7 linked regions of the Sus scrofa genome follow. The protein of the gene in region 7 binds, or shares a complex with, the protein of the main gene of each other region. Links are inferred from orthologs where the notes say so. Each region holds a gene or a part of one and is shown on either strand. Other genes may lie near its edges. The genes, in order: SNW1, SRRM1, SNRPD2, LSM3, CRNKL1, PRPF31 and SNRPF.

The links.
Region 1: SNRPF (region 7) and SNW1 share a complex: the UniProt entries of both Homo sapiens proteins name them as parts of the minor spliceosome. The link is inferred for Sus scrofa from reciprocal best matches to the Homo sapiens genes SNRPF and SNW1.
Region 2: SNRPF (region 7) and SRRM1 share a complex: the UniProt entries of both Homo sapiens proteins name them as parts of the minor spliceosome. The link is inferred for Sus scrofa from reciprocal best matches to the Homo sapiens genes SNRPF and SRRM1.
Region 3: SNRPF (region 7) and SNRPD2 share a complex: the UniProt entries of both Homo sapiens proteins name them as parts of the SMN-Sm complex. The link is inferred for Sus scrofa from reciprocal best matches to the Homo sapiens genes SNRPF and SNRPD2.
Region 4: SNRPF (region 7) and LSM3 share a complex: the UniProt entries of both Homo sapiens proteins name them as parts of the U4/U6-U5 tri-snRNP complex. The link is inferred for Sus scrofa from reciprocal best matches to the Homo sapiens genes SNRPF and LSM3.
Region 5: SNRPF (region 7) and CRNKL1 share a complex: the UniProt entries of both Homo sapiens proteins name them as parts of the minor spliceosome. The link is inferred for Sus scrofa from reciprocal best matches to the Homo sapiens genes SNRPF and CRNKL1.
Region 6: SNRPF (region 7) and PRPF31 share a complex: the UniProt entries of both Homo sapiens proteins name them as parts of the U4/U6-U5 tri-snRNP complex. The link is inferred for Sus scrofa from reciprocal best matches to the Homo sapiens genes SNRPF and PRPF31.

The regions. Positions count from the first base shown.
Region 1 is NC_010449.5:100,718,415-100,721,914, forward strand, and holds part of SNW1 (SNW domain-containing protein 1), read right to left. Parts: intron 2,252-3,500; coding exon 2,134-2,251; intron 806-2,133; coding exon 642-805; intron 557-641; coding exon 358-556; 3' UTR 1-357. UniProt on the Homo sapiens protein: Involved in pre-mRNA splicing as component of the spliceosome. As a component of the minor spliceosome, involved in the splicing of U12-type introns in pre-mRNAs.
Region 2 is NC_010448.4:82,336,692-82,340,191, reverse strand, and holds part of SRRM1 (serine/arginine repetitive matrix protein 1), read right to left. Parts: intron 2,356-3,500; coding exon 2,245-2,355; intron 1,492-2,244; coding exon 1,027-1,491; intron 337-1,026; coding exon 141-336; intron 1-140. UniProt on the Homo sapiens protein: Part of pre- and post-splicing multiprotein mRNP complexes. As a component of the minor spliceosome, involved in the splicing of U12-type introns in pre-mRNAs. Involved in numerous pre-mRNA processing events.
Region 3 is NC_010448.4:52,039,675-52,043,640, reverse strand, and holds the start of SNRPD2 (small nuclear ribonucleoprotein Sm D2), read left to right. Parts: upstream 1-1,166; 5' UTR 1,167-1,240; coding exon 1,241-1,242; exon of another isoform or gene 1,243-2,141; coding exon of another isoform or gene 2,142-2,209; intron 2,210-2,638; coding exon 2,639-2,818; intron 2,819-3,966. Other genes in the region: QPCTL (glutaminyl-peptide cyclotransferase-like protein), read right to left, coding at 200-409. UniProt on the Homo sapiens protein: Plays a role in pre-mRNA splicing as a core component of the spliceosomal U1, U2, U4 and U5 small nuclear ribonucleoproteins (snRNPs), the building blocks of the spliceosome.
Region 4 is NC_010455.5:70,345,881-70,350,044, forward strand, and holds the start of LSM3 (U6 snRNA-associated Sm-like protein LSm3), read right to left. Parts: upstream 2,801-4,164; 5' UTR 2,744-2,800; coding exon 2,723-2,743; intron 663-2,722; coding exon 552-662; intron 1-551. Other genes in the region: XPC (DNA repair protein complementing XP-C cells), read left to right, coding at 3,056-3,158, 3,452-3,595. UniProt on the Homo sapiens protein: Plays a role in pre-mRNA splicing as component of the U4/U6-U5 tri-snRNP complex that is involved in spliceosome assembly, and as component of the precatalytic spliceosome (spliceosome B complex).
Region 5 is NC_010459.5:28,109,072-28,113,171, reverse strand, and holds the start of CRNKL1 (crooked neck-like protein 1), read left to right. Parts: upstream 1-1,300; 5' UTR 1,301-1,715; coding exon 1,716-1,766; intron 1,767-3,389; coding exon 3,390-3,542; intron 3,543-4,100. UniProt on the Homo sapiens protein: Involved in pre-mRNA splicing process. As a component of the minor spliceosome, involved in the splicing of U12-type introns in pre-mRNAs.
Region 6 is NC_010448.4:56,001,508-56,005,007, forward strand, and holds part of PRPF31 (U4/U6 small nuclear ribonucleoprotein Prp31), read right to left. Parts: intron 3,264-3,500; coding exon 3,166-3,263; intron 2,589-3,165; coding exon 2,482-2,588; intron 1,158-2,481; coding exon 988-1,157; intron 1-987. UniProt on the Homo sapiens protein: Involved in pre-mRNA splicing as component of the spliceosome. Required for the assembly of the U4/U5/U6 tri-snRNP complex, one of the building blocks of the spliceosome.
Region 7 is NC_010447.5:87,620,064-87,624,312, forward strand, and holds the start of SNRPF (small nuclear ribonucleoprotein F), read right to left. Parts: upstream 2,801-4,249; 5' UTR 2,677-2,800; coding exon 2,674-2,676; intron 824-2,673; coding exon 698-823; intron 1-697. UniProt on the Homo sapiens protein: Plays a role in pre-mRNA splicing as a core component of the spliceosomal U1, U2, U4 and U5 small nuclear ribonucleoproteins (snRNPs), the building blocks of the spliceosome.

The sequences.
Region 1 (3,500 bases), on a different chromosome or scaffold from region 7:
ACAGGTGAACATCCTCTTTCTACTCACTGGGGTTGGGGTAACTATTCGTAAGCAGTTATTCTTAGACAAAATATTAACCCCGAAGTACTAATGTCACTCAGAAGGAAGTGGCCTTAATTTCATGTGTGGGGCAGTATAAATGCCAAAAGGTGGGAGAAGCACAAACACAACCCACTCTTTTAAAAAAACTAAATAATTCAAAGTAGAATTTTTCCATCCCCCCCTTCTGTAATAAAAAGTATTGCTGGGCTCTGACACCCAGATTTGGTTTTCATTCTGGCCATTTTACAAAGTATTCGCCCGTATGACTTGCATCATTAGGGTTATGAATAACAGTTCATACACTGAAGACAGTATCTACTCCTTCCTCCTCTTCTTGCCTTCATGCTCATGTTCCTTGGGGCGACTGCTATCTGAGGGTCTTTTAGAGCCACCGTGCTGTTTGGCTTCTTCCAAAAATTTGTCCAAACCAAAAGGATCTTCCTCAAACTGAACTGGTCCTTCTCGGCCTCTTTGTCTACGGTCTGACCCAGAAAACTCCTTGTCGGGAACGAATCTAGAGAAAAAAGAGAAAGACTATGAACTACTTTACTTTGTTTCCAGTGGCGTGGACACTGAAACTAAGCTGTTTGCCTTGGTACCTGTTAGTCTTTATTCTGGCTTCTAGGTCATCACCATACATGTCCTTGTCCAGATTTTTACTGGGCCTGTAGATATTCTGGGCCATATCTTTACCACCTCTCCAGGCTTGGTCATAAACATTGTAAATTTCATCTTCTCCACCTGCAAAACCACTGTCCATACCCTGTGGAAAATAGACAACATTAAAAATGTACATGTTATTTATTAATAAAATTTGTCAGATTTGTTTCCACTGCATTACGATGGGAACTCCTCATATGGTTTTTATAAGAATTAAGTGAAATAATAAATGAAAGTCTTAGAACAATGCCAGGAACATAAAAAGGACCCAATAACTTATTAAATAGAAGAGCTTACTCAAAATGCTACCTTCACATCTTAAAATCTCCAAGTCATAATTAACTTCCCCTCTATACACCATGAGAATCGTATACTTCTTTATTATTACAGTCTGCTTTGTCTTTATTTACGTACATATATCTTACAGTAGACTTGATGGTTCCTTGAGGGCAAGAACACATCTACCTGGAGTTCCCGTTGTGGTGCAGCAGAAACGAATCCGACTAGAAACCATGAGATTGAGGGTTCGATCTTTGGTCTCACTCAGTGGGTTAAGGATCCGGCATTGCTGTGGCTGTGGTGTAGACCGGCAGCAATAGCTCTGATTAGACCCCTAGCCTGGGAACCTCCATATGCCTCGGCTGCAGCCCTAAAAGGACAGAAGAAGAAAACAAACAAAAACACATCTGCCTTTGCTCTCATTGACTATACAGTAAATAATCAATATTGGGTGAAGTAAAACCCAAAGATACTTCAGGCCTAATGTGTCCTAGCTAGTTAATGACAACTGGGACCAGAAATTAGACTTCCTCACTAGTACTTTAGTTTTATGGCTTCACTTTTTAAAAATCCAAAGTTCATGTTTTTATAGCATTAAGACATTTTTTTTTTTTTCAAAGATCAACAACAACAAAAATAACCTGAGACTTTTGTAGGACACTGGCTCTATTTTAGAAATAAAAGAATCAACCCTTTTGTTTGTTTTCTGTTTTTTTCTTTTTTGGCCACACCTGTGCCACATGGAAGTTCCTGGCCCAAGGACTGCTTCTGAGCCACATCTGTGACATACCACAGCTGCAGCAACACCGGATCCTCAACCCACTGTGCCAGGCCAGGGATAGAACTAGCAATGCTAGAGATGAGCTGGATCATTAACAACCTGTGCCACAGTGGGAACTCCCAGAAGAAAAGTTTTAATCACCTAATTTCTTTCACTTTCTAATAGTGCCTCAAATCTTGGCTAATTCTAAGAGGTCAAATCAGAACTATTTCTACTGTCTCAAGTTACAACATGCAACTTCAAATTTTTTCCTGTCACTATGCCAGCATACTTTAGGCTGATCCAAGCCAATGATACGTTAATTTTCTTTTCCCTGAGGACTGGTATTCACATCAACACTTAAGACATGCATTTTCCTAGACGCTTAGTACCTTGGACTGGTTGAAGAGCCTTTGGTCGTACTGAACTTCATTGGAAGTCCGAGGATTGGGCACACCAAGAGCAATGACTTCACTGATATCTCGGTTTTCATTTCTCTGCAGTTTCGACCTGTTATGAAATACCACGTCACAGAGTGAAAACTCTTCACAGAACAAGCTGAATTTCAAGTTAAATACAACCAATCTCAGAAGCAGAGAAAATGAGTATATCCTGTTCACATCTTGTGAACATATATTCCTTGATAATGCATAATTGGGATGGCAGCTCTTACAGCATTTCAGATACATGATGATTAGATGAGACAGGGTTTTACAATCAGGCTTCCTGATAGTGGAAAAGAACTGCCAAGAGACTGCATTTGCTAAGACCAGTGGCAAAGAGCTTGCTGCTTATGTTTTCTTCTAGGAATTTTATGGTTTAAGGTCTTATATTCAAATTCTTAATCCATTTTGAATTAACTTTTCTTTTTATCTTTTGTCTTTTTAGGGCCGCACCCACGGCATATGGAGGTTCCCAAGCTAGGGGTCGAATTGGAGCTACAGCTGCCAGCCTATGCCACAGCCACAGCAACACCAGATCCGAGCTGCATCTGTGTCGTACACCACAGCATGCCAGATCCTTAACCCACTGAGTGAAGCCAGTGATCGAACCCAAAACCTCATGGCTCCTAGTTGGATTCGCTTCTGCAGCGCCATGATGGGAACTCCTGTTTTGAGTTAATTTTTGTGCATGGTGTAAGATAGTGGTTTGGTTTCACTCTTTTGCATGTAGCTGTCCAGTTTTTCCAACACCATCTACTGAAGAGACTATCCTTTCTCAAGAGAATCATTCTTCATATGGAAGTCTTTAACTTGAGCAATCCCCTTATAATGCATGCTGAGATATAAAACCACTATGGTCTATATCTGCTATTACTATAAAGGGTTAGGGGGTCTGGATACAAATTAGAAACATTTTCAATAAGCTAGAATCAGTTCTTTGCCTAACCACATTTAGTAATTTTATCCTATTAGAATTCTGAGGAAAAAGATGTCAATGACTGGATTACTTGGTATGATTTTTGACATTCAGGTTAACTTAATTCCTCTCCTGTTTCAGTTATATATGCAATCCACATTGCAATGATACCATGGTAACTGTCATAATTTATTTTACTTGAGGCTCAGGTCTTAAAATGATTTCTATAGACAATCTAATTTTCATCCAATCACAAGTTTACACATTTTCTATGTTATCAATTCTCACAGTCACTGTACTAGTTTTAAGGGCTCAATTTATCTACAGAGCCATTTTGATTTTTATAGCTTAGGAATTTCAGACTTAGAGTGTCATTAACTGTGTACTTTCACACTTCACT
Region 2 (3,500 bases), on a different chromosome or scaffold from region 7:
GCTGCTGCTATATGGCATGGGTTTCATCCCTGGCCCAGGACTTCCACATGCCGTGGGTGCTCTGAACCATAAAAGACAAATTCTCTCCTTCAAAGTGACCATGTACAATTATAAAGGATGCTCAAACAGGGCAGACATACCCTTGCCGGTGATGGGCTTGGTGTCGGGCTTTTAGCCTTTTTGACTGGTACTGCTGGTGACCAGTTGGTAGAAGGTGACTGAGACTGGACAGGAGATGGAGGTGCTGGGGGTTTTTTAGCTGCTGGCTCAGGAGATCCCGAGACAGATCGAGAAGATGAGACCCTCCTTACTGACTGAGGGCTTGGTGAGGCAACTCTAAAAAAAGGAAAAAAAAAGGAAAAAATAAAAGTTACTGTCCAAAAAGATATCCTTCTTTCTTAAGAGAAAAAGACCAACTACCATTAAAAACCGGATCTAAATTTTAAATATTTTATAGCACTTAGTTTGCTGGTTGTCTATACTAATACCTAACGAATTTGTATCATCTAAGACTGCTGGAGAGTAGCTCAAGTCCCACAATGCCCTATCTATTCTGTTAATGATCCTTCCTGTATGAAATGAGGAATGCCAGCTCCTATTTAAGACTGCTTTCATCGGTCTTACATAGACATGAAAGAAATATGCTACGTATCACTTCAAAGCTAGGTTTGGAAGCACAATCCTCAATAAACTTGCTACCTCTGAGATCCAAGTAAAATTCTATGACATTTAAAACTGAAAAGAAGGTCCAGCACAGGGAAATGTGTGCGACTAGGTTGCTTTGCTGTACAACAAAACTTGACAAAACAGTATAAATCAACTATACTTTAAAAAACTAAGAAAAAAAAAAAAAAAACAGAAAAGAATCTATGAAACAAACAGCAGTACTCAGTGTCTTAAACATTTGTATTCACAGCTATTCTTTTATGTGACTTCCCAGTAAACAGGGGGTGGGAAGCTTCTAAACATGAAGAACTACACAGGTTAAAAGTGTTCCTAACCAAAAAAAGCATAAAATATTTTTACTTTTTTGTCTTTTTGGGTTCCGGAGTCCTGGAGACTCTCCTAATGGGCCTAGAACTTGGAGATGGGGACTGCCTTCTTTGGGGTGATGACGATGCTCCTCTTCGAGCAGGCGGAGGACTTGAGCAAGTCTGCGGAGCTCGAGGCCGTGGTGAGGGCGAATGCCGTTTGTTTGGTTGTGGTGACCGGGCTTCCCGGGTAGACCGGCTTGGGGAAGGCCCTTTCCTATGCTTTGATGACAATGAAGGTGAACGTCTCTTAGTGACTGGGGAGCTTCTTTGTTTGGGAGGTGGCGAATGGGAGACCCGACGCTTTGGTGGCGGAGATGGTGATGCCCTTCGTTTAGGGGGAGGAGGGGGTGACGCTGTTCTTCTCTTTGGAGGTGGAGAAGGAGAGTATCTCCTCTGTATTGGAGGAGAGTATCTTCTTGGGGAAGGTGAGCGTCGACGTGGGGGAGGAGAAGGAGTCCTAGGAAAAAAACAACATTAGGAGTTCCCGTTGTGGCTCAGTGGTTAGTTGAATCTGACTAGCATCCATGAGAACGCAGGTTCAAGCCCTGGCCTCTATCAGTGGGTTAAGGATCGGCTATGGTATAGGTCACAGACTTGGCTCGGATCCCCATTGCTGTGGCTGTGGTATAGGCTGGCAGCTATAGCTGAGATTTGACCCCTAGCCTGGGAACCTCCATATACCCCAAGTGCGGCCCTAAAAGGCAAAAACAAAACGAAATGAAACAAAACCAAAAAACCCCACAAACATTAAGCTGAGAAGTCCAAGAAACTAAAGAAATATAATGCAAAGAAAACTATGCACTCACAGCACTAGACAAACAGAATTCCCAGTGGAAATGCAATACCTTCACTTTCATTTAAGGTTAAAACAAAACAAAACAAAACTCTTAGTAAATTCCTATTTATGCTAGATGACTACAAACAGGGCATTCTGGTTAATTGTGAAATTTTAGTTCAAACTGAATTCAAGTTTGTCGAAAGTCATTCAGCACAGGAGTTCCCGTCTTGCCGCAGTGGAAACAAATCAGACTAGGAACCATGAGGTTGTGGGTTCGATCCCTGGCCTCGCTCACTGGGTTAAGGATCCATTATTCATATAAATGGAACTGTAGAACGATGTACTTTGTAAACAGGTAAGCAATGCAACTCACATAAAATATTTCAATCACAAAGATTAAAAGTTGCCCTACTAGCATTTCCAATAAAGTACCTTCGTCGTGGTGGTGGCGTGGGAGACCTGCGTCGTCGAGGTGGAGGAGCAGGAGAGGGAGAACGTCGCCTTCTGGTGGGTGGTGGGGAAGGACTTCTCCTCCGTCTACCACTAAACCAAAAAAACAGTTGATTCAGAGTCAGCAGCATTTATAATTGAGGGGTCAAGATAATTTAGTTTCAACCACTGTTACCCCAAAGTGCAGCAACTGTCATTCTCTCCCTCAGAGCAGTCTTATACAAACTAGTGTAGTCAAGGCCCTGGGTACGGAACAGAATTTATAAGTAAATAAATAAAGTGATTTACTTGTGTCAAGGGCAATAATTTTTGTCTTGTGAAACTTGTTTCAGTACGTAAATATGCAGTCTGGGTCATGATATAAAACATTCTTAACATGAAAGAAAGTGAAAAAAGTTGAAAATACTGCCTTAGAGCACTGCTTTTCAATTGTAATGTTCAGCAGAAACAGCTGGGGGAGTTCTCTTGGTGGCTCAGCGGAAACAAATCTGACCAGTATCCACAAGGAAGAAGGTTTGCTCCCTGGCCTCGCTCAGTGGGTTAAGGATCTGGCGTGGCTGTGAGCTGTAGTGTAGGTCACAGATGTGACTTGGATCCCATGTTGCTCTGGCTGTGGTACAGGCTGGCAGCTGCAGCTCAGATTTGATCCCTAACCTGGGAACCTCCATAAGCTTTAGGTGTCGCCCTAAAAAGACAAAAGAAAAAGAAAAGCTTCAAAGCTTATTTTAACTTTGTGTTCACTAAGTCTGGGCTATGGTCTAGTGGTACATATTCTTTTTTTTTTTTTTTTTTGGTCTTTTTAGGGCCACATGTGCTGCATATGGAAGTTCCTAGGCTAGGGGTCGAATCAGAGCTGCAGCTCCTGGCATACACCACAGCCACAGCAATGCCAGACCCAGGCTGCATCTACAACCTACACCACTGCTCATAGCAACCCCAGATCTTTAATCAATTGAGTGGGGACAGGGATCAAACCCACACCCTCATGGATACTAGTCAGGTTGTTACCACTGAGCCACAATGTCAACACCAAGCTGATATATGATAAAAGCATTCTCCAGGTGATTGATTCCTTGTTAGGAACAACTGCTTTAAAGCCTAGAAAAATACAATGTTGTAATACAGAAATTTAAAATTTAAAGTCATCAGTGGTTTTAAGGCTCCAAATCTGGGTATTACTGCTACAAATTATTGATTTTTTTTCTTTTTGATATATTCCCACGGGTTGAGTTGCACAG
Region 3 (3,966 bases), on a different chromosome or scaffold from region 7:
ACCCTTCCTCTTACGGTGCAACCGCTATTATAGAAAAAGCCCGAAGCCTCATTGCATTGGAAAGGGGCATGCGCTCTAACGACGAAGATCGCGGCACCTGCGGCTAGGGCCCCACGATAACGATAAAGCCACGTCAACCTGAGACTTTGAGGAGGGGGAGGCGGGGAATAAGGGCTCCCCTGTCCCCGTCCGGCCTCACCCGCATCTCCCGGCCCAGAGGCAGCTCCTCAGTCTGGCGGTGCCAGCCGCTCCAAATGGTATAGAACACCGAGGCCACCGCCAGCGCCAGCAACAGCAGGGGCAACAGCTGCGCCCGCGGTAGCAGGCGGCGCTTGGGCGGTGAGGGTGGCTCCAAAAGGCCGCGTTCCCCAAGCCGTAGCCGGGGCCGCCCGCGGCCCCCTGAACGCATGGCAGCTTCGCCCTGAAACCGGTCGGGGACTGCGGATGGAGTTTAGGCCAGCCAAGTCCCACCCCATGGAATCACCGGACCAATAAGCAACAAGAGCGGCTGCACCAACCCACCCTTCAGCAAGCAGTAAAGCCAATGGGGACTTTCGTACTGAGGACACGCCTCCCTGTCTCCCTGAAGCTTAAGGGTTGGTTCCCCTGAGGGTTGCACAACCCAAAAGGGAGCGCGAAAGAGGTAGGCACCGCCTCAGCGGAAGAGGGGAAGCCAATGAGAAGCATTTGATCCTAGAAAACAGCCGACCTCCTGGGCGCGGGTCCACGCCCCTCCCGGATGTAAGCAAAGGATTGGTTATTCCAAGTCCAAAGGATTAACAAACACATAAACGGACGGTCCCCTAAGTAGAAGAGGAGGTATCCATCCCTGAAGCGAGGAGCCGATTGGCTTCGTGGATGCCGCGCCCCCGAAGGCAGGGCCGGCGGGCATTTGGAAATGGCTTGTCCTTTCCCTCCTTCAACCTGTGCGGTTCTACAACGAAATGGTTTGAATAAGTCCTGCTTTCTCTTCCTCTCCATCGTCAATATCTGCCCGGTACAGTCCTGAATGGCCTCAAAGTAGTACGTAAGAGTTTTACCCTACAGCCGCCTGTGGCGAGCAGAGATCGCTATGGCAACAGGCCACGCCCCACCCACTAGCTGTGTTTGCGCAAGCGCCCACGGAAGTGGGCCTCAGGAAGCGGAAGTCCCGCCCTTCTCGCTCCTTTCAGAGGGCGAAGAAGCAACGCGGAGACGGTGGTGACTGGAGTGCGCGGTCGCGACAACTACTGCCACCGCCATGTGAGGCCGGGCTAGGCTTAGGTGGCAGGAGTGGGTTGAGGGTGTAAATCTGGCCACTTGCCGGTGGAAGGGGGTGGGCAGAGCCTGGGGCGGAAGCAAACATTTTCGGGGTAAAGTGGCGTACGTTACCGATGAGTTTGAGAACAGATGTGGGGCCTTTTTCGGATCCTGACTTTAGGAGCAGGAGCAGCTTTATCAGATAACGGGCTGGGCTTTCCCAAATAATTAGTCTTACTGAAGCGAATGTTAAGGGGAAGCGATGTACGAAAATGGAACCTGGGAGAGGGGAGTACGGACATGTGGGGAAGAACGATTTGAAGTGAGGATCTTATCAGGGTAATTTGAGCTGGAGACGGTTAGCCTTTTGACCTTATTCGTCGTTATCATGGGTCTCGAGTTATCGGAAGGATTTTACTTACGTATTCATGCAACAATTATTTATTGAGTGTTCATATGTCAGGCTTCTTTAGACACAGAATATGTTAGTGAATTACCCCACTCCCCCAAGGGAAAAAATTCCATTTTGCATTTTATGGGTTGGGTTGAGCCAGGCAATAAATGTAAAGGTAAAATATATGGTGTGTTAGGTGACCGGGGCTATGAATGAAGAAACAGTAGAGCAGGGTAAAACAATGTGGAATGCCAGTTTTGAGAGACAGGACACATGAAGAAGGGAGCAACTGGAGCAGAAAGCTGGAGAAAGTGAGCGCACAAAGATATTTAGGGACGTATCCAGGTAAAGGGGGAAAAGCAAATGCAGAAGCCTAAGAAGAAAGTTGCTGAAAATCTTCCAAGACACCCCTCTGGATGGAACGGAGTGAGAGAAGGCAGCGGATAAAGGGTTTTTACTTTCTACATTGAGATAGGAGCCTCAAGAGAGTTTCGCAGAGTGAGATGATATGACTTGGACCTTGGCACCAACCAGAGACTGCTCTGTGAAGAGCAAACTTGGAGAGCATGGGTGGAGGTAGGGAGACCATTACGGCTCTAGGAGAGAGTCGATGGAGGTTAAGCCATGGTGAGAAGTGGTCAGATTCCGATATATTTGAGAGGCAGGGATGATGGGATTTGCCAGCAGATTGAATGTAGGATGTGAGAGTAAGAAGAGTCAAGTTGACGTTAGAGGTTTTGCTCAAAGACATAGCAAGATGGAGTTGCCATGGATGGAGACGAAGGCAGCTGTAGGTAGATTAAGTTTGGGGGTACCGCGGGGCCTGGTGTTCAGCCTAGGACGTGCAAGCTTGGAACTGTCTATTAGGCAGCTGTGTGGTGATGCTAAGAGAGAGGACTGAGCCGGAGGGTGGGTGTGTTGGGGAGACAGTGAGCGAGAGGGCATGACCACCCAGGCTCTGGCTCCAGGCCCTGTCACCTATGAGTTCCATACTTGCCCACTCAGGAGCCTCCTCAACAAGCCCAAGAGTGAGATGACGCCAGAGGAGCTGCAGAAGCGGGAGGAGGAGGAGTTTAACACGGGGCCGCTGTCCGTGCTCACACAGTCGGTCAAGAACAACACCCAAGTGCTCATCAACTGCCGCAACAACAAGAAGCTCCTGGGCCGCGTGAAGGCCTTTGACAGGTGAGCACCTGGGTCTGGGGAGGTGGTCTGTCCTGGCCTGGAGAAGCAGTCCCAGCTCTAGTCTGAGGAGCCTGGATTCTAGGTTTCTTAGAAGCCTGGGGCATAAGCGTCTGAAGGTGGGGTTCCTGTCATGTCTCAGTGGTTAACGAACCCAACCAGTATCCATGAGGACACAGGTTCGATCCTTGGCCTTCCTCAGTGGGTTAAGGATCCGGCATTGCAGTGAGCTGTGGTGTAGGTCGCAGGTGTGGCTCAGATCCCATGTCTGTGGTTGTGGTGTAGGCCGGCAGCGGTAGCTCCGATTTGAACCCTAGCCTGGGAACCTCCATATGCTTCCGGTGTGGGCTTAAAAAAAAGAGTGCCTGTTGTGACGGTCTCTGTTGTTCCTCCAGCTGTAAAGTTCAGCCATGGACTTGGGGGCCAGTCCTGGAATGATGTCCTGGCTCTGCCTCTTAGCAGCCGTGTGACATTCAGCAAGGGACCATATATCTCTTCCCTACAATGGCCGTAATCTTGATGGTTGCAAAGATTCAGTCACTTAATATATGTGAAGCACAGTCAGTCCTTAGGAGTAGCGCCCCCGGCACACGGTCTTCCTCATCAGTTTTCTCAGTTCGTGCACAGTGGCCTCTGCCCTTGTGGGGTACTGTCTTAGGCTCCAGAGATGCCATGGTGACTGAATCATACATGCCTCCTGTACTCAGGGGAGTCTACAGCAAACACATAATGTGTCAGGAAGACAAGTGATGGCAAAGTCTGTGCAGAAGAGTAGAGCCAGCTGAGAGTTTGGAGTGTGGAGAGGGAGTGCTGCTGTCCTCGGTGGGTCATGCAGGAGGCCTTCTAGGTGGACAGATGGGGATAAAACGAAGGTGCAACCTAGGGTCTGCATGTTTCAGCCATGGGGAGCAGCAAGTGATTTTTCCTCTCTGGGCCTCAGTTTCCTTATCTGCAAAATACTATGCATAGAATAATACCCCTCAGAACAGTCGTAAGGGTCAAATGATTTTCTGTAGGAAGAGCACTTAACTCAGTACCTAACATGTGGCAAAGGCTCAGTAAACATATGATCGGCAGGAGTTCCCTTTGTGGCTCAGCGGTAAATGATCCCTACTAGCATTCATGAGGGCGCAGGTTCGATCCCTGGCCTT
Region 4 (4,164 bases), on a different chromosome or scaffold from region 7:
GTACTGCAACTCAGACATTCAGAACTCAAAAGTATAGCATGATCCCATTCATTTTTTAGAGAGGGTGTATACAGTGTAAATATATACATATAGACACATATTCATGTATATCTGTTCTGTGTAAATATACAGAAAAGATCTGAAAGACTATAGACCCAATAGAAGAAATAGGATTTCACCTTTTACTCTACGTATTCCTGTGTAAAATTTTTCACAAGAAAACGCAAATTTATATGCATGTCAGTAATTTAAAGAACATTTAAATAAGAATGGAGGACAAATAAATCTTATTTACAAATAAACAGAAAGGAAAAAATGAAAGAAATGAAAATGTTCTCTAGTAGACATATTTCCATTAAGAGAAAAATGTGTTAAACATATGAATAAAGTACAGTTCATTTGGTGTTTAGAAATACAGGTGACTTTCCACCTCCTCATCTATTCAAAACACTCTTTCACAGTGGACAGTTTTTACATTTCCAAGGGGTGGGGTTAGGGAGCAACATTGAGGAAATAATCTAATTTCAAGGTGATTTAATAAATTTACTCACATGTAACCTGCCTCGAAGCTCTCTGTCATTTCTCATTTTCACATAGATTCGCTCATCCAGGCTGAGTCTGATGAGATCCAGGGGCTCTTCTACAGTGTTGGTAGTTTGTTGCTGATAAAAGAAACAGGCTTAGTAATACAGTTCTAGAGAGTGAAGTTTCTGAACCAGCAGTGCCCTGTGTGACTGTGAGCAAGTTAGTTAACCCCTCTATGCCTCAGTCTACTAATTTTTAAAATGTGTGTAACAGGAATGCCTACCTAATACTACTGTTGTGAGGCTTAAAATACATATATGAAGGCTTAGAACAGTGCCTAGCGTATATTAAGTGCTGGATAAATGAGGGCTGAAACATACCTACACAGAAAGGAGCTGTACAACAAAATAATCATGACTGCACTCTCTTCTCTCAAAATCCAAACTGTCTGACCCCATTTCAGGGTATAGGGAGTTACTGTCTCAGGGTCTTCATCTTTCTTTCATGTTATCATTTAGCAATTGGAAGAACATACACAATGACTACCACATACTAAGTGGAGATGAATGTTTGAGGAAAGATTATGAGTGCAGTGCAGGAGAGGCTGAGTTTAGGGTGCCATCTGGCCAGTAAGATGATTATATTTAGCAGGCAGTATAGAAAAATACTGGTTGAAAGCACTGGCTTTGGAGTCAGGCAGTGTGGGTTCAACCCCTGACTTTGACATTCATGAACTGGGTTTAAAAACCATCTCTAATTCTGTTTCCTTGTTTACAAAATGAGGAAGCCACAATCTTCCCTTCATGAAGATGGCTAGGATGACTGGGGTCCATGTGGAAGGGATGGTTGAAGGGAAGGGTGAGTTGATAAGATTATTTAAGGAGAGCTGCTTCGGGGATTACATAGGGTCATTGGAGGAAGGTGACTGAATGTTACAGTCTCTATAGCCTTAAAGGGCTAGATGCAAAAAAGAGAAAGGAAATCCTGACCTCAACTGCTTCCATCTCCAGATCAACAGATGTTTGTTAAAGACCAGCTAGCCAGTTACTAGATCAGTGATACAGGAGTCAGTCCCTACCCTCAAGGAGTTCATTCTAGTGGAGAAAGGCATATAAGTAAGTAATCATAATACTGTAAGAATATATACATGACAGAGACCTACCTCCCACTGTCCATCCTTTTTATCCTGTAGCTTTAAGTACTGCCTTTTCAAAAGGCCTCCCAGACCATCCAATTAATTCACTCAATGAATATTTGTTGAGTGTTTCCAGCACTGTTCTAAACCCAGAATAGTGAACAAAACAAGACTCTTGCTCTCAAGGGACTCACATTCTAGCTGGGGGAGACAGACATTAAACAAGGAACCATATACTCAATATGAACAAAGAACATGCTATGAGGAAAAATAAGGCAGACTGGGAGAGTGCATTTTATGCAGGTGGCCAGAGACCTATTCTTTGATATGAGGTGAGATTTCAGTAAACAGCTGAAGCTGCGGCCTAATCCACAAAAACATCTGAAGAAGAGCATTTGGAGAAGACGGGACAGCAGGTGAGAAAGCCTGAAGGACCATCAGTTATTCTAAATACCAGCTCCCTGTCTCCTGCCTACCACATCACAGTTTCCATATGTTTCGCATATTTATGTTTACTTGTTATCTGTGCTCCCTCGAATATAAGCCCCAAGTTGGGCAGGTATCTCCCAAGTCAATGCCGATGTCCCTGGTATTTAGAAAGGTTTCTAACTATACAAAGGTGATACTCACTAGTGTTTGTAGACCCTGTAATCATTGTTGCGCTCAGTAATGACAATAACCCACTAAATGTTTTATTAGCCTTTCTATCAGAATCCCGAGAGCTCCGTGAGGCAGGCAAGGATAATGGTTCTCATTCTACAAATCAACGTGAGACTCAAGAGAAAGGAAGTGAGAAGAGTGAGGAATAACTAATTTTCAGGAGGGTTTTGAACAACAAAGGTCTCAGGGCCTGAGGCAAAATTCGGAGGGGGCGCGGTTAACCAAGAGGCAGGTTAAGGCCGTGATGACCCAGAAAGAGGCGGCGTGACAGGCCACTTTCTCGTGAGTTTGGGAAAAGCAACCCTGAGCTTGGGGAAAACAACCCTGGTAAACAAAGCTGGGCACACCCTGGCCTGGACAGGGAGAAGCCGCCCCAGAGCGAACTCTTCAGAAGATACTCACCTGGTCCACGTCGTCCGCCATGTTTCAAACCCTGCGCCCTTTCCGTCCTCTCGCGAGGGCACGAGAGCTGCTCCCTATGCCCACCCCAGTCTCCGGAAACGTGAGGACTCTATGCACTGGAAGTAGAAAGAGGTTGGTTTTACAGCTTCTTGCTTCCTGCAGCTTGCATTGGTCCCTTTGAGGCTGGGGCGGAGCTTCAGCCTGGGCGCAGGCGGGAATCTACCGGAGGGGGCGTGACCAGGCCCTGCACCGCCTGGGGGCGGGGCCGCGCGCGAGCTGCGTCCCGCGGAGACGCGGTGCGTCACGCTCTAGGCGAGTCTTGCCCGGGCAGAGATGGCTCCAAAGCGCTCGGCGGGCAGGGCGCCGCGGGGGCGCAAACTGCGCGGCCAGAAGGCCAAGGGCGAGGGCAAAGCCCGGCGCGAGGAGAAGGAGGCGGGTATGAGCCAGGCTGAGTTGGGGTTGGTAGGGAGGGTGGAAGAGGTTTGGGTGGGGGTAGCAGGAGGCCGGCTTCCTGGAGGTGTGAGCGAGGCATCCTCCCTCCCACCTGCGCTGGGGGCGGTGTTCCGGAGGCCTAGGGAGGCTGGGGGTGTGCACGTGCCCAGGTGCTCCCCGGCGGCCCTGCGCCTTTGCTCTCCTGGCCAGAGGTGATGCGCCCTGAGACGTTCCGCTAGAGCCCAGCCGACCGCGAGTTCCTCTGCGTAGCCTCTTTCTGCTCCTTTTCGCCCCCAGGATGCAGGCGGAAGCAGGGGGCTGAATATGTGAAAGGTACTGCTATTATGTTGTGTCGCCACGAGACGAAGGGACCAAGACTTAGAGTGCTGTGGTGTGTGGAGAGTCCCAGATTTGGATCCCACCTGACAACGTGCATATCGAGTAGGCTGCTTATATTTGTCATGCGCAAAGCAAAACACTTGATTTCCCCTTTAAACCTATCCCTTTCTTACTTTTACCCCATATCAGTCTTTGACCCCTTCATCACTTGTTAAAACAAACTCCTTTTCCCTCCAACACACATCCAGTCCTTCAGAAAGCAAATCCTATCAGTTTAACCTCAAAACCATATCTCAAATCTCTCCACTTCTCTGTTTCCATGGCCACATACCCTGTCGAAACCACCATCACTTTTCAGTTGAACGACTGCAGTTGCCTCTCTACGGGTCTCCCTACTTCTTTTCATCCCCCTGGAGGAGTTTTCTGTGCTGCAGCGCAAAGTACCTTAAAAAAAAAAAATCTGATTTTGCCATGCTCCCACTTCAGACTCTCTGTGTCTTCCCATTGGCATAACAGCCTCCAGATTCCTCACCTTGGCCTACAAGACCCTGTATGATCTGGCTGCTGCTGCCTCTCCTGTTGTCTCTTCCTAGTCTTCTTTGCCAGGTACCTTCCTTCTTGGCCTCCTCACACACACCATGTGATTCCTCACCTGAGCCTCTGCCTAGAAT
Region 5 (4,100 bases), on a different chromosome or scaffold from region 7:
TAGATGATTAAACTTTGTCAAATCAATTGTGTATAGTTACAATCTGAAGAGAACTCAAGGGAAATATCTTTTTATTTTAATAGCTATTTCTTTCCTTAGGTGACTTCTATCACAGTTATATAAAATCTCAATTTATTTAAAATTTGAAAAGTGAGAAAACGTTCAATATTTAAATAATAATAAGATGTACAGAAACTATGGCAAACGTTTTTATATTGGTTACAGGTGACTTCAGTCTGGGAAATCAGCATAAAATTTCTTCTGCAAAGGTGGATGTGATCTGCATACATAAATACATAAATATATTTTCCAAACACCAAAAGAGGCTTTCAACTGTCAATCTTTTAAACAATGAGCTATCAAGCCATGACAAGACAGGGAGGAATCTAAAATGAATATTACCAAGTGAAAGAAACCAACCTGAAAAGACTACACACTATATAATTCTAATGATATGACAGTCTACAAAAGACTGCCATTGAAAAAAAATTAGTGGTTACAGGAAACAAAATGGGAAGGAGGGATGCATAGGCGGAGCACGGAAGATTTTTAGGGCAGTGAAAATGTTCTTTACCATTCCATAATGGTGGACAGATGGCACTGTATTATTTGTCAAATCCCACAGAATGCACAACATGACGAGTAAACCCTATGTAAACTATGAAGGTTGGTTGATGAAGATATGTCAACATAGGTTCCCTACGCTGGTGGTGGATATTGATAGTGCAGTGGCTGGAGTCCAGGGCAGGAGAAATAGGAATTTTCTGTACTTTGCATTCAATGTTCCTGTGAAACTAAGCCTGCTCTTAAAAAATAAATTCTATTTTTAAAAATTCTCTTAATCATTGGCACACACATATTAATTTTTGTTTCTGAAAGCAGTTCAAGAAATATTCCGACTAAAATTTACTGAGCACATTACTTATATTTTTCTTTTTAATCCTGGTGAAATAGATATTATCTGCGTCTTATAGTTAGGGACATCGGGGCTAAGAGAATTGATGAAATTAAGGCACAAAGAAAATTTAAATATGTTTATCTGACCACAAGATTGGCATATTTGCTATTACTCTGACGATTTATTTTCACTCTATTTCTATTATCTGGCTTTTAAAAACCTTCAGTTACTTTAAATTACAAGCCTTAAAGTTAAGTATTTAGTCACAACTAGCCAGAAACCAAGAGAGAGTAAATCTCAAAGACTACAAAGCCTAAAATGCACAGCGGCGTCGGGCCGCCTAGGAGCCTAGCAGCTCGCCGCTCGGCATGCCGGGAATAGCAGTTTTTCTGGCCAGCCTCTTTTTCCACGCCCTCGAGCGTATTGACCGGAGCCGGGTTCCTATCCCCTTGCCTGGCAACAGGGCTCCATAGATCCACCCATCCTCGGACGGGCATCCCAGTCCCGGAGACGACCTGTGGATGAGCGACCGGCGCCCTGCACTTTCCCCACGTCCCTACCGGGAGCCAGCACTATCCAACTCACCTGCAACTCCAGCCGCCGTGCTCCGCCCACGGCTCCTAGGAGGACGCGCAGACCGTTACCACAGAAACGACGTTGCCTCCGTCACGGCGCCGTCGGGAGGTCAAACGTCCCCCAGCCACTTCCGCTTCCGGTTCCGGGATCCCGATTGTTTTCGGAAATCCCTGAAGTGTAGGCGAGCGTTCCCGGTTGGTTTGTGGGGTCCCGGGCTTGCCCGAGGTCTGACGCTGCAGCCATGGCGGCCTCCACCGCGGCCGGGAAGCAGAGGATCCCGAAAGTGGCCAAGGTAGGCGGCGGCGCGAGCCTTGAGGGAGGAGGCCCGGGAAGGGGGTTGGCCTGGCCTCCGCGGTTCCCGGGGCGGGAGGCGTGTGGTCCAGGGAGCCGGCCAGCCCCATGTGGGGCCGCGGGAGAGCTGGAGGGGAAGGGTCAGCGGATGGGGGGCGCACCCGCGTTTGCGTGGCCATCGTCTCGGAAGGCATTTTTGCGGTGGGAGGACTGGGGTCGTTCCACACAGACCAGCTGAGCCAGGTAGCGCGCTAGGCGCTGGGGAGCTCCAACGAGGGCGAGCAAGGAGCAGCTTTCAAATAAGATACAAGTGTAAAGTATCTTTACAAGTATACAACCTTGAATGCTGCTCAGGCCACGTGGAACATGCCGTGGCAAACTGGGCTTGTGTGAGGGGTCTCAGAGTAGACTGCTGAGAAGTGATACCTAAACCGACCCTTGAGGCGGAGTAGAAGTTGGCCAGCTGAGAGTGGATGGAATGAGAGTAGATGACAAGACCTGCGAGTTAGCATAATTTAAGAAGAAATCTGATTTTTCCTTCGGTGGCTAATACTTAGTGAGTGCTTAATATGTAAGAGGCTTTGTCCTAAGCCTTTACAGATACTCTCCCTCCAGTCTGTTTCTCCAGCCCAGGTGTCTTTCTTGAGCCTTTATCCACTTAGATGATGATTCTTTGAGATACCGCATATAAAGTGCATAGCACAGCATCTGGCACTTAATGTTCATTAGGTATGAGCTATCATTTTATTATAATCATCACTCTTCGCATGACACTGAACAATTATCAATTCAATTCCACAAACTTTTATTGGGCTCCCTGAGTTCAATATAATGTGAGCCCCATAGGTAATTTTTAAGTTTTCTCATAGCTACATTAAAAAGTGAAAACAGGTGACATTCATTCCCCCCACTAAATTTTTTAAATTTAACTAGTTGCAGGTGACATTAATTTTAATTATATATTTTATTTAACCAATCCAAGATATTGTCATTCCAACATGTAATGAATATAAAAAATTTAATTAGGTAGTTTATCCTTTTTTTCATACTAAATCTTCGAAATCCCATTATATTTTACCACTAGAAGCCATCCCATTTTGAACTCAACAAATGTGATTATGGCTACTGTGTTGGATCTAGGACTCTTATAGCCTAATAATGAGAACTTACTGAGTAAGTCTTTGGCTTGAAGTGCCATGAAAAATCAGTTGTAATTATCCACCTGGGACATTATCCTCTACCTGGGGCTTAAGTTGAAGAATTCTGTAAATAGAGGTTGAAATGCTAAATATAGCACACATCTTGATAAAACCTTTGGTGAGAATTTTATCTAGGCAGCCTCAGAGTTTACTATTATATTAATCTGAAAGGGAAAACTTGGTGCTTTTTTTTTTTTTGCTACCTTATATCTTGAGAGCTTTATCTGTGGTTTTGTGATAGATACTATGCATAAGATAGAAAACAGTATTTTTTAACTTAATTTTATGGAGAAATGGGAGCATGTCATGCAAAGGAGGGCATCTTGTAATAATGTTTATAAAGTTCACATCCTAAGAAATGTGTATTTGTTTCTTAAACCTTGTGTGAAGAGGTCTACTAAAAATAGAAATGTCTCGTCTTAAAGGTGAAAAACAAAGCCCCAGCTGAGGTACAGATAACTGCAGAACAACTGCTAAGAGAAGCTAAGGAAAGAGAACTTGAGCTTCTTCCACCTCCCCCTCAACAGAAGATCACAGATGAAGAGGAGTTAAATGATTACAAACTAAGGAAGAGGAAGGTGAGTCAATGTGATGTCTTTCAGTCTGTTGATATTGTTAAGAACAGGTCAGAAGTGGAAAAGTTCCTCACTGGTTAAGAGAGACTATAAGATAAGGTTAGTGTTTGTAGCCACATGAATAGCATGACTTCTGGTTACCAGGTGATTGCATTTTGCCTCGTTGTGCGTGTTAAGTGTAAAGAAATTAGATCCACCAGAGACAGATTTTTTTTAGTAGATCAAAGATGGGTGGAAGTTTAACAGGCACAACAACTGACAGCTGGAGGAGGGGTGAGCCTAGGGAGATTCTGTTCTCTTCTTCTGTCTGTACTGCCTTCTGTGTTAAGAAGTGAAACCTAGGAAAAAGCCCTAGGAAGACATGAGGATCTGAATTGACCTCTTCACCCTAGAATGTGGTTTGGTTTTTTTTTGGTCTTTTTGCTTTTTTTAGGGCTGCACCTGCAGTATATGGAGGTTCCCAGGCTAGGTGTGTAACCGCAGCTGAAGCCGCCGGCCTACTCCACAGCCACAGCAACACCAGATCCAAGCCGCATTTGCGACCTATACCACAGTTCATGG
Region 6 (3,500 bases), on a different chromosome or scaffold from region 7:
TCCAGTCACCACTGGGGACACTGAGGCACGTGACAGCATTTACCCAAAGATTGAGGTCAGTGTGGGGAAGCAGGATCCACACCCGAATTTGTCCTGCCCCGAAATCACTACCTCTTCTTCTTTTTTCGGCTGTGTCCGCAGCATCAGAAACTCCCAGGTCAGGGATGGAACCCGAGCCACAGCAGTGACAAAGCCAGATCCCTAACCCGTGAGGCCACCAGGGAACTCCAACCACTGCTTCTCTCTACGCTGCAATTCTGCATGCATTTGTCCCCCTTGTGTGGGCTGAACCGAGTCCCCTACTGAAGTCCCAACCCTCCCCTCCCCACATCTCAGAACGTGACTATGTTTGGAGAGAGGGCCCTTGAAGAGGATGCAGGGGAAATGATGTCACAGGACGGGCCCTGATCCAATAGGGTTAATGCCCTTACGGGAGGAGACTAGGACAGAGCTGCCCATGGAGGGCAGACCACACGAGGACGCAGCAAGGAGGTGGCATCTGCGGGAGGAGGCAGTGCTGCTGACACCTGAGCTGGCTCCCAGCCCCCAGAAGGTGGGAGCAACCTGGGTACAGGGGCTTGACCCCCTGGCTGCGGGGCCAGGAGCCCGAGCAGGTGCTGAGACTGCGGAGCCCCCAAGGAGAAAGGGAACCCGCTCGTTAGTCCCAATACACTGCGGGGACCAGCGCCACCATCTGCTTCTACACCGAGGCTCAGAGCTGCCTTGACTACTGCTGGCAGCCCCGGGGGTCCAAGGCACAGCTGGGAGCCGCCCGGACGCCCTGGCCTTTCCAGCGGCCGCACTGACTCCCTCCTCAGCAGCCCGTTTGGCCCCAGCTCTGCCGGGCAGTCAGGGGCCACCTGGCTCAGAGCCGCCCTCCTCTCTCTGCGGGGGGGCCCCGGGCCAGAGCCCAGTTTAGAGAAAGGGGCGTGGCTTCCCGCAAGGTCACAAGCCGGGGGACCGCCCCTGCCCAGGGCTGGCTCTCACCCATGATCTTGGCGGCGGTGGAGGCGCCGATGATGATGGAGAGGTTGGGCGCGATGAAGGACATCCGAGACTCCACGTACTCGTAGATGCGGTGCTTGGAGGCGTTGAGCTCCAGCGCCATGTCGCAGGCCTCCTCCAGCCGCTCCAGCTCCTCGTCCGACAGCTGCTGCCTGCAGTGGCGGGATGGGGGTGTGGCTGAGACCCCCACACACACACCTCCTGGGAGGTCCCGTCTGCCTGGTGTGGGAGCCCCAGCCTCCCAGGGGTGTGCAGCTTCTGGACAAGTCCCGCTGGCCCCGAGGGCTGGAGGCAAGGGCTGCCGGGAATCAGTTCTCAGGGGCACCAGCCTCGCGGCCTGGGCGGTGGCCTGGTCCTGCCCATGCGGGTCCACCTGGGGGGGCCCCCTGGCCAAGGCCACGCTAGAGGCAGAGCCTCTGCGGGGCTCCCTCTTCCTGAAACGCCCTCCCCCGAGCTCGCCTCATCCTGCAGGTCTCGGCCTTGCTGACCAGCCAGGCCCACCCTCCCAGGGCCTCCCTCAGAGCACGGCCACCAGCTGCCATCACCCTGCCTGTTCAGGGCCTCTCCATTTCCCGTGGACTTCCTGCGCTAGAGCCGCCCTGGGGGAGGGCCCCGCCCAGCTCTGGTGCTGGGTGAGCAGGGGCGAATGGAAGAGCATCCCTGCCATCTCACAGAGGGGACCCAGGGCCAGAGGGAGAAGGGGACAGGCCCGAGGCCACATGGCCAGTCAGGGAGCCCAGCCCTGGCCCCCCAAAGCCAAGCGGGATCCCTTCCCTCCCTCGGCTGCCCCACCTGTGCTGTGAGGTGCACAGGGCGCGGCTGTAGAGCTCAGGAGGGCTGCCACACTCAAGGTCACCCACTGGAGCGGTCAGCTATGGGCCCACTTGTCCCCTCTCCCCCAGGAGAGCATGGTCCCTGCCTGAGGCCAAGTCCTCCAGGAAGCCACCCCAACCCAGTCGGGGAAGGTGCCCTTCCTCAGCACTCTCTGCACCCCTTCCCCTCCGCGCCCTTTGCCCTTGACCTGTGCACACAGCTGCTTCCTCCCAGACTGGAGCTCTGCTTTGCTAAGTCCTCTGACCCCAGTGCTCAAAACAGTGCCTGGTGATGTGTCAGCATCTGCTCTGCGAACAAGACAACCCGAGGGGTCTCCACCCCATGGGGCTCTGCGCTGAGGCACAGACGCCAGCAGGGTGGGGGAGACCCGGCTTTCGTCCTGCTCAGGGGACGGCAGAGCACAGACGGGCACTTCTACTCTGGGATCTGCCCTCTGCCGCACGGCCCTACGGGCGCGGGGGCAGGCTGGCTTCTCACTGGGACGCCCCAGCCCCAGCCCCAGCCCAGCGCGGGGCCTGGCTCGCAGGAGATGCTCTGTAAACACACGTGGATCTGCAGTGAACGGTCCTCCTGAGATGGACACTGGGGCCACTGGGGCCCCGAGACCATCGCTGCTGCCAGCCGGGCCTGCTGTGTACGCACCCCTGGGTGGTGGAGGCGGTGACGCTGACCACCATGATGGTGGCGTTGGTCAGGATCTGCTGCAGGTTCTCGTTGTTCTTGCACTTGTCCAGGCTGTTGCCCAGCTCCTGGGGGCGAGAGGCAGGAGAGGGGAGGCCCGGGGCTCAGGGAGCTCTGGAACCTCTCAGGCCCCTGCTCTCGCCCGGCCTCTTCCAGGTCTGCATGCGGGGCGCTCCCCCCCGCCTCCCCCCAGCTCCACGGCTTCACTGCCCACAGCTCAGCAGCGTGTGCCCTGGGCTGGCCGACCCGGAAATGGCCCCGCTGCCCGCATCCACTAAGACTGCAGGTCTGACCACGCCACTTCCCGCAGGCAGATCCCTGCCACCGCTCTTCTCCGCTCCCGGACTCGGGGCAGCCTCTGCTGGGGTCCCCGCCTCCACCTGCCTGAGCTTCCCCTGGTGGCTCTCCCTTAAGACCAGGGCCTCAGAGGCCAGAGGGGACCCGACCCCTTCAACCTCACCCCCTCACTCCCACTCGTTCCCCGAACGCTCAGGGGCCACTGGCATCTCGGGGTCTCTGTCCCCCATTCCCATCCTGCCTCCAGCTGAAAGCTGAGCGAGGGGAGCCTTTCCCCTAGACCCGGGGGCCCAAGAGCAGGGTCCTGCCTCCCCTTCACACTGGTGGCTTCAAGCCGCCCCCCCTCACCTTGACGGTGCGGATGTAATCCAGCGCATTGGGGACCAGAGACTCCAGCTCGGGGAATCGCTTTGAGTACTTGTCCCGGATGAACTTATGGATGATGTCTGAGGGGGAGAGGGAGGGGAGGGGCCCGTGAGGGGCGCGCAGGCTCCGCGGGTTCTCCCAGCATCCACCTCTCCTTCCTTCTTCAGTAAAGGACCCCCAGCTGCGGCTGGGCTCAGGGACACCCAGCACACAGGGCCCATTTCCTGCTGTCCCTCCTAATGGATGCAGCCATGGGACTTAGTGCTGGTCCACAAGATGTGAGCTCATGCCACATGTGCAACTTCCAGCCACTCCCG
Region 7 (4,249 bases):
CTTCTCTCTTAAGAACTGCTTCTATCAAATTACTTAGATTTGTACATTTAGCATTTATCAAAAGACACGAATTTCACTGGAAAAGGTTCTCTCGGACCAAGTGCTGGGATGTTTTGCTTTCCCCACAAATCAGTATATTTTTCTTATGACATTGTGAATCAAACGCCTGAGCTCTTCTTACTTTTAACCACCTGGGAATCAAATCTGTGGCTGAATTTTTTTTTTTTTTTTGTCTTTTGTCTTTTTGTTGTTGTTGTTGTTGTTGCTATTTCTTGGGCCGCTCCCGCGGCATATGGAGGTTCCCAGGCTAGGGGTTGAATCGGAGCCACAGCCACCGGCCTACGCCAGAGCCACAGCAACGCGGGATCTGAGCCGCGTCTGCAACCTACACCACAGCTCACGGCAACGCCCGATCCTTAACCCACTGAGCAAGGGCAGGGACCGAACCCGCAACCTCATGGTTTCTAGTCGGGCCCGTTAACCACTGCGCCACGACGGGGAACTCCTGTGGCTGAATTTTTAATATGTCTCATACAAAGTTCATCAAATTATAACATCCTCCTTAGCCTTGATTTGACCCCTTAATTTTGCTTTGTTTGTCAATTAATTATATCCCTGTAAGTCACACCAAACCTTTGAGAAGTCACATGAAGAAAAATAAATACAATCTAATGATCTTCATAACTCTTCCACTTACCTGCATATTCATATAGCCATCTACAGACACCAGGTAGCCTTTGTACTCCATTCCCCACTTAAGTTTCACCATCACTGGCTTCCCTGTTAACCCATTGAGGAAAGGTTTGGGATTGAGAGGCAAACTCTGCAAAACAAAAACAAAAAAAGAACCCAACTGAATAAGTTTCTTTAGCTTGGTTTCTATTACCTACTCTTTTCTGCCAAATTACCAATATGCTGTGGTATCCAAATGAAGCAAACTCTTGACTCCATCTCACGTTATTACATAATTTTCACTTTTATTTGTGGAAGAACTTCAAAGAAATATCCAGCCAGTCAATTTCATCAACCCCATCAAGACTTATTCAATGTTCACTTAAGAAACATTCACTCACTGTTCCAAAAATATAATGAAACCAAGGAAAAGGCAATAGAAAAAAAAGAAAAAAAAAAAAAAAGGCAGATGACAGTCCCTGTCCTTAAGAGACCTACAGTGGGAGGGAAGGGTCAAAACATACACGAGTGGGCAATTACTTTGTAATGTAGTAAGAGGAGAATGCTATTACATGATACCAAACAATCCAGTGTTAAGAGAAATGGAAGAGTTGCCTGAAGTAAGTAAATGCCTGTTTTAAAGGATGACAGATATTTCCAGAGGGAAAGAGGCTATTCTAGGCAGAGGAGGCTACCTATGCAAAAGGAGGGAAGAATGACTCGGCAAGGTGATCTCAGGGACATAAAAGTTAGTTTTGTATGAAGTTACTGAAGAGGCAGGGGCAGATCATAATTGAGTCTCTCACTATGAAAAGGTAGGCCTGGATCTTATTTGACTTAGCAGTGACTCCTACATATAGGCAATCAATCACTTAATGTTTGTTTATTCAGCAAATGCAACAGTATCTCCAACGAATTCAGACTTTTCCCCCTTCCTTCATCTGTTGGCCCATCCACCCAAAGAGAGAAAAGAACCAAGAAACTTGGCTACTAAACCCCTCTAGGATAAGCATACTCAGAGTGATCTCAAATAGTTCTATGGTCTTCACTCTTTTCTTTCTCCAATTTATTAGCCACACGGCAAGTATTTTTTATCACATCATATCTCTACCTAAAATGTTTTGATGGCTTTCCAAAGTAGACCCGGGAGTAGAACTCAGACCTCCTAAAACTGCCTAATACTTGCCCAACACTCCATCCTAGCAAGCAGCTGTGGCTTTCTCTCAATTCCTCCAACTGGTCAGGCTTTCTTTCGAGGCTCAGAGTCTATGCTCATGTTTCCTGAGCTTGGTGTATACACTCTTCCGCCTCTTTAAGGGTGTGTATTTCATATCGTTTAAGTTTCAGGTTAAATCCCTTCTCCCAAAGATGCCATCCTTAAACACTTCTAACGTAGCATGGTACCCCCTCATAGCATCCTGTGTGCTTCCTCCTTAGCACTAACTTTATTTGAAATTATGTATTTGTCGTTATTTGATCAATGTCTCTCTCTCTCTCACACCGACTTAAACTGGAGCAGGGGCCACACCAGTACTTCTCGCCCTATAGTCCTAGTTCCTAGAACACACCTGACAGGTAGCAGGAGCTCAGTAAAAATTTGCTAAGAGAACAAATGAATGCTCAAAGCTCGGGCTCAGTATTCCAAAGGGCTGCAGGGCTTCCCAGCATCACCAGACAAAAGCGGATTTTGGAGTGCTGTAAGCTGTACGTGAAAAACCGCTTCATCTTTACTCCAACTCTGTGGTCCCAGGCAGCAAGAGCAGCTCAGGCTCAGATTCAAACGAAGAAGAGGGGGAAGGGGACATTCCTAGGGAGGGGAAGGAGGGCGTGCGTCAGACACCCAGAACTGGCAGAAAGGGGCTGGCCACAGGCTGCGCGGGGCCTCACGCGGATGAATGGGAAACGCGCGAAGGCCCGGCGAAGCTGGTCACCCGCCCTCCCGCCCTCTCTCTCTCTCTCTCTCCCCCACACGGGCGACTCTGACCTTCTCTTTCTCCTTACCATCGCGACTACTGCTGCTGTAGTGGGCAGATGCTGCAGACTACCCGCCGCCGACTCAGCGCCGTCCGGCCCTCGTGGACTGGAGTTGGCTACAGCAACTTCCCAGCCACCAAGCTTCCAGAGAAATGGCCGCCAAATAGCAGCGTGACCTTTCCCCTCCGACTACGGCTCTTCCGGCTTCTGTGATTGGATGCAAAAAGATGCGTGCTGATTGGCGGAAGTGACTGGGGCCTGTCTCCTGGCAACCAGCAGGCTCGAGTTTCCGAGCGCCTTCCCGGCGGGGGCAGGAAATAGGAAACCTTCAGCAGCATGGGTCTGATACCTGCGGCACTGCAAAGGCAGAGAGGTGGCTCGAGTTGCCTGTTTGCTCGCCTGCCTCGAGGGTTTGCTGTCTGTCCTGCAGAATGGACGTGATTTCTCGCCAACTTGGCTGGTGGAGTTTCCTTTGGCTTTGCACACCTGGGAAAACGAGCTCGGGGCTCTCAAGTTTCTTCTTCATTTTCCCACAGATCCTGAGCCATGGGGACTCCTCTGCCACAGTCCCGTTCTACCTGATGGCTCTCTATTCTGTAGTGCTCATTTCACCCCATCTCAGAGGAAGTGGAAGAAGCAAGACTAGATAGACTTAAGGAGGTGAAACGCACCGGAAGAAAGTCAACTGCAGAATATTTTTCAGATGAGGTCAGACAGAGACTAAAATACGGTGTGGTGGCCTCCCGGTCCACCTGTTTCTTGTGCTTTGCGAGCAGAGGCCCACTACAGTCCTCATACTGGATTTATTTTTTTCAAATATATATATATCTAAAACATTTTGGATATAAATTTATATACATGTAATATATATTATAAATAAATTGCATATAAATTCAGTATAGCTGAATTACAACATTGTGCCAGTTTCTGTTGTACAGCAAAATGACACAATCATACACATATATACATTCTTTTAAAAAAATTTTTTTTTCTTTTTTGTTTTTTGTTTTTGCAGCCCTAAGGAGTTGAATTTGAAATTGAAATTTATGGAGTTCCCGTCGTGGCTCAGTGGTTAACAAATCCGACTAGGAACCATGAGGTTGCGGGTTCTATCCCTGGCCTTGCTCAGCGGGTTAAGGAGGTTAAGGGTCCGGCGTTGCCGTGAGCTGTGGTGTAGGTCACAATCCGGCTGCGATCCTACATTGCTGTGGCTGTGGTGTAGGCCGGTAGCAATAGCTCGGATTAGACCCCTAGCCTGGGAACCTCCATATGCTACGGCAGCGGCCCTTGAAAAGACAAAAAGACAAATAAGAAGAAAGAAGAAAAAATTGAGATTTAAATGTTGCGGTATTGTGGAGTAGTGGCTAAGACTTTAGAGGCAGTCTGAGTTTAGAACGTCTATCACGTGGGAATGGTATTGGGCAGTTTCTTAACTCCCGAAGGCGTTTGCTTCCTCAGTTTCATGTGGCTTTAAAAACAGTTCTATCTGCAAGGCTGTGAGATAGTAATTAATGTGAAAGAGGCTGGAACTATCCTTGGCTATGTAAGGGTTTGGTAGATCTTAATTTTACTTTAATGGTGTCCATCTAAATGATAAAGAACA